2 linked regions of the Macaca mulatta genome follow. The protein of the gene in region 2 binds, or shares a complex with, the protein of the main gene of each other region. Links are inferred from orthologs where the notes say so. Each region holds a gene or a part of one and is shown on either strand. Other genes may lie near its edges.

Region 1 (4,259 bases), on a different chromosome or scaffold from region 2:
CACTGCAACCTCTGCCTCCCGGGTTCAAGCAATTCTCCTGCCCCAGTCTCCCAAGTAGCCGGGATTACAGTCGTGAGCCATCGTGCCGGGGGTATGTAACATTTTTTTAACAGAGGATGAAATAGTCATGGATTTCCTGCACTCCAGCCTGGGTGACACAGCGAGACTCCCTCTCAAAAAAAAGAAAGTGAATTAATCTATAATCTGAGAACAGAAGTTGTAAACTATATGTGACTCACAGTCATATCTCTCTCGAGGCTTAAAATGTTTTTTGGGATTGCAATAGCTTTTAAATTTTTTCTTTCTCTCTCTCTCTTTCTTTCGTTCTTTCTTAGTGTTGCTCTGTTGCCAGGCTGGAGTGCAGTGGCGCGATCTCAGCTCACCGCAGCCTCCGCCCCCCGGGTTCAAGCGATTTTCCTGCCTCAGCCTCCTGAGTACCGGCTAATTTTTTGTATTTTTAGTAGAGTCGAGGTTTCGCCGTGTTAGCAAGGATGGTCTCAATCTCCTGACCCCATGATCTGCCCGCCTCCGCCTTCCAAAGTGCTGGGATTACAGGCGTAAACCACTGCGCCCAGCCTAAATTTCATTATTTTCTGTAGCTTCCTGGCCTTTCGACTAAGGCTCATGTAAATTTTTTGTTATTTCTACACCAATTTCTGTAGATTATTATGAGAATTAAGGGAGATAATTATATAAAGGGCTTAACACAGTGTCTGGCATTTAGGAAGAAAGCAGTAAGTGGTAGCTATTATTTATTATTATTTTTTGTGATGGAGTTTCGCTTTTGTTGCCCAGGCTGGAGTGCAGTGGCCTCCCAGGTTCAAGCAATTCAGAGAGTTGCTGGCCGGGCACAGTGGCTCACGCCTGTAATTCCAGCACTTTTGGAGGCCGAGGTGGGTGGATCACCTAAGGTTGGGAGTTTGAGACTAGCCTGACCAACATGGAGAAACCCCATCTCTACTAAAAACACAAAATTGGCCGGGCGCTGTGACTCACGCCTGTAATTCCAGCACTTTGGGAGGCTGAGGAGGGCGGATCACAAGGTCAGGATATCAAGACCAGCCTGGCTAACCCGGTGAAACCCCGTCACTACTAAAAATACAAAAAATTAGCCGGGCGCGGTGGTGGGCGCCTGTAGTCCCAACTACTGGGGAGGCTGAGGCAGGAGAATGGCCCGAACCCGGGAGGCGGAGCTTGCAGTGAGCCGAGATCGCGCCACTGCACTCCAGCCTGGGAGACGGAGCCAGATCCGTCTCAAAACAAAAAAAAGAGAGTTGTGGTTTGATGGCCGGTGGGGGGGCGGGGCGGTGGTGAGGGGCGGGGCTTAGTGGTTCACGCCCACGGCTACAAGGCCCAATCAGACCCGTGGAGCAGGTGGAGTTCCGCCCTCGCGGAGGAGGTGGAGTTCCGCTCTCAACGTCGCAGCAGGCGCGGAACTGGGGTTGCGGCGGCTAAGTGTGTTTCCGGTAGATTCCCAGGGGCGGTCGGAGGTGTGGACTGTTCCTGCCTTCATGCTCTGGGAAGATGTTCTACCATGTGAGCAGGGCCCAGGGTGGCGGCAAGGGCTGGGTGGAAAGGAGGAGCAAGGCCAGGCGCCGGCGCGAGGCTCCCCTTGTCGTCTGATAAGCTCCCAGCGCGTGGCCTGGTCGCCATCCCTCTTTTCTCCGCAGATCTCCCTAGAGCACGAAATCCTGCTGCACCCGCGCTACTTCGGCCCCAACTTGCTCAACACGGTGAAGCAGAAGCTCTTCACCGAAGTGGAGGGGACCTGCACAGGGAAGTGAGTGCCGAGCTCACCGCGCCGCCAGATCGTTCGATGCGCACACGGGTCGCTATACCTGCAAACCATCCGCAACTCCTATTAGTCCTGCCACCCACTCTAGGGACCCCGCTCACCCTCTCAGGCAGCCAGTTGCTTCCTGCTTTGGGTTCCCAGGGCGCCCTCTGCAATGCTGGACAATAAGACTTCCTTCCCTCAGCTGAGATTGGTCATTCATTCATTTACTCCTCAGACATTTTAAAAACACTTGGTGTGTGCCAGGACCCGTGTTGGGCTCAGAACAAGGTAGAATGGGAACAAGATAGAATGAGGCCAGCTCTTGTGGAGCTCACAGTGTAGTCATTGTTCCTGTGTCTCCTCTCACTCTGTCATTCTGCTGGTTTTCTCTTATCCCCTGTGTCCAGGGACCACACACCGTGGGCCTCTATATATCTTCTGAATGGATGACCAGAAAAAGTGGATCGAAAGTTTGGGGGAGGAAGGAAGTAGACTGGGACTTGACCATCTCTGGGCTTTGCACTGAGGGCCTTCTGTGATATTAATGAGCTGGGACCCAGCCCAGGGCAGTGGAGTACTTGGGCCTCCAGCATCAGAAAAACCTGCAGGAACATGCAGATTCCTGAGCCTCCTTATTCCCTACAGAATCAAGACTCTGTGAGGCAGACCTGAGAATCTGCATTTTAAGAAGATGATTCTCAGGCATCCCGAAGATTGAGATCTGTTTCCTCAAGGACTCCAGCCTTCTTGTACATTTACTGTGAAATTACCAGAACAGCATTTGGTCTTATACATACTGATCTGTGTTCTTTTTTTTTTTTTTTTTTTTATGAGACGGAGTCTCGCTCTGTCGCCCAGGCTGGAGTGCAGTGGCCTGATCTCAGCTCACCGCAAGCTCCGCCTCCCGGGTTCAGGCCATTCTCCTGCCTCAGCCTCCCGAGTAGCTGGGACTACAGGCGCCCGCCACCTCGCCTGGCTAGTTTTTTGTATTTTTTAGTAGAGACGGGGTTTCACCGGGTTAGCCAGGATGGTCTCGATCTCCTGACCTCGTGATCCGCCCGTCTCGGCCTCCCAAAGTGCTGGGATTACAGGCTTGAGCCACCGCGCCCGGCCCATACTGATCTGTGTTCTGTCTTCTCTTGGTCATTAAGCTCTCTGGGAGCAGAGGTGCTATCTACTTGTCCTTTTGCTCTCCCCGACACTACTCCCAAGAGCTCAGTGACTTTTATTGCAGATGTCTCTAGAGGCTCTTGGACACACAATGTCTTTCTGTTTCTCATCCTCCTTGCAGGTATGGCTTTGTAATTGCTGTCACCACCATTGACAATATTGGTGCTGGTGTGATCCAGCCAGGCCGAGGCTTTGTCCTTTATCCAGTTAAGTACAAGGCCATTGTTTTCCGGCCCTTTAAAGGGGAGGTCGTGGATGCTGTTGTAACTCAGGTCAACAAGGTGAGACCATACGTAGGGGAGGCATTGGGGTAGTCTCTCAGTAGATCTGGGTTGGGTCCTGGCTCCACTTCATAACTGTGCCTTCAGCTAAGTCACTTTACTTCTTTTTTTTTTTTTTGAGATGGAGTGTTGCTCTGTCGCCCAGGCTGGAGTGCAGTGGTGCCATCTTGGCTCACTGAAACCTCTGCCTTCTGGGTTCCAGTGAGTCTCTTGCCTCGGCCTCCCAAGTAGTTGGGACTAAAGGCAGGTGCCACCATGGCCGGCTAAGTTTTTGTATTTTTTTTAGTAGAGATAGGGTTTTGCCATGTTGCCCAGGCTGATCTCGAACTCCTGAGCTCAATCTGCCTACCTCGGCCTCCCAAAGCGCTAGGATTACAGGTGTGAGCTACCACGCCTGGCCATCACTTTACTTCTTGTGCTGCACTTTCAAATTGTATGGTAATCTTCCCTGCCCAACTCAGAGGGCAAGAGTCAACATTAATAGTCATAACAATAAAAGCCTGTGTTGATTGAGTAGTGACTGTGGGCCAGGTGAAGTGCAGAGACTCACAATGACTAAAAGGTGGGTGCTTTCCTTTTTTTTTTTTTTTTTTTAAGATGGAGTTTAGCTCTGTCGCCAGACTGGAGTGCAGTGGCACAATCTTGGCTCACTACAACCTCCGCCTCTGGGTTCAAGTGATTCTCCTGCCTCAGCCTCCCAGGTAGCTGGGACTATAGGCATGCGCCACCACGCTCAGCTAATTTTTGTATTTTTAGTAGAGATGAGGTTTCTCCATGTTGGTCAGGCTGGTCTCAAACTCCCGACCTCAGGTGATCTGCCTGCCTCAGCCACCGAAAGTGCTGGGATTGTAGGCGTGAGCCACTGCCCCCGGCCAGTGGGTGCTTTTTACAGAAGCTGAAGCTTAGAAGAAGTTAAGTGTATTGGCCAAGATCATGTGGCCAACAGGTGTTCAAATCTTGGACTAACAGGCCTAAGCTCTTTAATACTTTAAAATGAAAGGTTAGGCTGGGCATGGTGGCTCACATCTGTA
Region 2 (3,561 bases):
AGCTTGAGAATGAAACTGAGTAGGAATGCAGGAATTACTGAATATAATTATGTTTCTAGTCAGTTCTGTTGTACAGCTAGTATCAGAAGGAAAGCTCTTCAAAAAGAGCAACCCTATATATTTTCTTCTGCAGCTGCCAGCCTGACCCTGAAAGGAGAGAGAGAAGAAACACAGGAAGAAGAAAAAAGGGAGAATAGAATAGTAAAATGATCAAAGTCATGTTAACTATATGTTGGTAGTCTATGAACTCTCAAGGTTAGCTAAACCAGCAAATTTAAATGTGGATTACCATTGTTTGTACATCACTAATACAATGAGCTACAATTATGCTAATTAATGGTCATGCTACATTATAAAAGTCAAGACCTATATTTTGCGTGGTAAAAAAATAAATGAATTATACGTTAGGAATTTTACATTTGGATTCTAGAATCTCTCTCTGGTCCTAGAAAGTAGTCTTCTTAGTTTTCACTTCGCATTTAAATTCAAAAGCAGTGAACATCTGAATTTTTAAATGCTATTTATTTCCAAATTAGCACGGTCACTGACTGTGCTGGGGTTTCTTCAAATGGTGTGTGTTCATACACAGCATTCACGACTTTTTTCCACATCAAGCCATAAGAGCAGTAATTATGCAACAAAATATCTTCCTATCCCTGCAGTATCTTATGCTTTAAATTTTCTAAAACAAAAACAATTCAATTTACAAGCATACAAATTATAAATCTGGCAATACAAAATAAGCATTAATTAATCTGTAAAAACATAAGTGGAACTGGTACAATGACTTCTTTACAACCTTTACACAGAAGTCTTACCTTTAACATTTTGAAATAGATACATAAAATTAAGTGAAAACCAACAAATCAATCTTACAAATGTGTACATTCAAAAAACAAAGACCCTACAACATTTCTTTTAAGAAAAAGTAAAAAGCATTATCAGATTTCACCATATTAAAACATTCTAGGCAAGGTGCGGTGGCTCACGCCTATAACCCCAGCACTCTGGGAAGTCAAGGTGGGCCGATCACTTGAGGTCAGGAGTTCAACATCAGCCTGGCCAACATGGTGAAACCCCATCGCTACTAAAAACACAAAAATTAGCCTGGCATTGTGGCGCATGCCTGCAATCCCAACTACTCGGTAGGCCAAGTCAGTAGTGAGCTGAGATCACGCCACTGCACTCCAGCCTGAGCAAGACTCTTTTTTTAGGCAAGACTGCCTAAAAAAAAAAAAAAAAATTCTAGTTACAGGAAATCTCTCTTGATAATCAACTAAATTCTCACCTCAGTCATTAGCCATTGTTTCTGCTTGAGTCCAATATCTAAATGTTGTGTTTCATCCAAAATTTCATCTAAGGTTAGAGGATGCGTATCTCCTCGCTGATGCCGTGTCTATCAAGTGAAGAAACTGTTATTAGAAGACAGTTTTAAAATGCTAGATGCATTAAATCATAGTTACGTGTACATAAATCTTCAGGAATGAAAAACATGTATTATTCCAGGTAGTATAATTATAGTGACGAAGAGCCACAGACTATGAAATCAGAACGGAGTTGAAACTCATTGCTCTATAAAATAAAAAGATAAACTGACAAAAAATATATGCAACTCATATCACCAAGAGCTAATTCTTCCTAATATTTCAAGAGCTTCAAAAACCTAACAAATAGGCCAGGCATGGTGGCTCACGGCTGTAATCCCAGCACTTTGTGGGGCTGAGGCAGGTGGGATCACTTCACGTCAGGCGTTCGAGACCAGCCTGACCAACATGGTGAAACCCCATGTCTACTAAAAATAAAAAAATCAGCCGTGCATGGTGGTGCATGCTTGTAATCCCAGCTACTTGGGAGGCTGAGACAGGAGAATCGCTTGAACCTGGGAGAAGGAGGCTGCAGAAAGCTGAGATCTGGGAGACAGAGCAAGATCTCAAAAAAAAAAAAAAAAAAAAAAACAGAAAATGACCCAAAGACAGAAACGTGCAGATTACAAAAATGACCTTAAACATAGGAAAAGATACTCAACTTTCACCAAACAATCCTATTTCTAGAAACTTATCCTACAGAAATACCAGTACCACATAGAAAAATGACTTACGGGCCGGGCGCAGTGGCTCACACCTGTAATCCCAGCACTTTGAGAGGCCAAGGCAGGCGGATCACGATGTCATGAGATCAAGACCGTCCTGGCTAACACAGTGAAACCCCATCTCTACTAAAAATATAAAAAATTAGCCAGGCATGGTGGTGGGTGCCTGTAGTCCCAGCTACTCGGGAAGCTGAGGCAGGAGAATGGCGTGAACTCGGGAGGTGGAGCTTGCAGTGAGCTGAGATCACGCCACTGCACTCCAGCCCGGGTGACAGAGCAAGACTCCAACTCAAATTTAAAAAAAAAAGAAAAAAAAAGAAAAGAAAAGTGACTTATGGTCACTGTAGCATTGTTTATAAAAAGAAAATATTAGAAATAACCCAAGTGTCCATAATCAGAAGATAGATTAACCACAGCACATCCATTCCACTATACTGATGTTCACAAAGTAAATGTAAAATTTCTCTATGTGCTAATTTGAAAAGATGTCCAGGACAAAGTAATAAGTTAAAACACATATGTATCATGCCTATCCAATGAACACACACACACACACACACACACACACACACACACGTAGATACCAAAAGCTAGAGCAGATGCAAAGGAACAGGAAGAGTGTGCAAAATGGCACAGCCACTGTGGAATGACAGTTCAGCAGTTTCTTACAACACTAAATACACTCTTACCATTTGATGAATCTAGCAATCATGATCCTTGGTATTTACCCAAATGAGCCAAAAAATTATGTACATACAAAAATCCACTAAGGATGCTTATTACAGCTTTATCCATAATTGCCAAAAGCTGGAAGCAACCAAGATGTCCTTCAGTAGCTGAGTGGGTAAATAAACTGTGGTATATCCAGACAATGGAATACTATCCAGAGCTAAAACGAAATGAGCTATCAAGCTATGAAAAAAATATGGAGAAACCTTAAATACGTATTACTAAGGGAAAGAAGCCAATCTGAAAAGGCTACATACTGTATGGCTCCAACTACTGACATTCTGGAAAAGACAAAAACCACGGAGACAATAAAAAGTTCAGTGGCTGCAGGCCAGATGCAGTGGCTCACACCTGTAGTCCAGCACTTTGGGAGGCCGACGCGGGAGGATCACAAGGTCAGGAGATTGAGACCATCCTGGCCAACATGGTGAAACCTCATCTCTACTAAAATACAAAAAATTAGCTGGACATGGTGGCACGTGCCTGTAGTCTCAGCTACTCAGGAGACTGACGCAGGGGAACCACTTAAACCCGGGAGGCGGAGGTTGCAGTGAGCCAAGATCAAGCCACTGCATTCCAGCCTGGCAACAGAGCAAGACTCTGTCTCAAAAATAAATAAATAAATAAATAAAAATTTAAAAATTAAAAAAAGTTTAGTGGCTGCCAAGGGTTGCAGGGGAGAGAAGGATGAACAAGCAGAGCCCTGAGAACTATAGTGGTGGACATAGGCCATTACACATTTG

The links. The genes of interacting proteins can lie anywhere in the genome.
Region 1: GTF2E2 (region 2) and POLR2G share a complex: the UniProt entries of both Homo sapiens proteins name them as parts of the TBP-based Pol II pre-initiation complex. The link is inferred for Macaca mulatta from reciprocal best matches to the Homo sapiens genes GTF2E2 and POLR2G.

What each region holds. Positions count from the first base shown.
Region 1 is NC_133419.1:11,297,771-11,302,029, reverse strand, and holds the start of POLR2G (DNA-directed RNA polymerase II subunit RPB7), read left to right. Parts: upstream 1-1,420; 5' UTR 1,421-1,511; coding exon of another isoform or gene 1,512-1,524; coding exon 1,525-1,536; coding exon of another isoform or gene 1,537-1,670; coding exon 1,671-1,780; intron 1,781-3,068; coding exon 3,069-3,228; intron 3,229-4,259. UniProt on the Homo sapiens protein: Core component of RNA polymerase II (Pol II), a DNA-dependent RNA polymerase which synthesizes mRNA precursors and many functional non-coding RNAs using the four ribonucleoside triphosphates as substrates.
Region 2 is NC_133413.1:32,393,540-32,397,100, forward strand, and holds part of GTF2E2 (transcription initiation factor IIE subunit beta), read right to left. Parts: intron 1,397-3,561; coding exon 1,289-1,396; intron 1-1,288. UniProt on the Homo sapiens protein: Recruits TFIIH to the initiation complex and stimulates the RNA polymerase II C-terminal domain kinase and DNA-dependent ATPase activities of TFIIH. Both TFIIH and TFIIE are required for promoter clearance by RNA polymerase.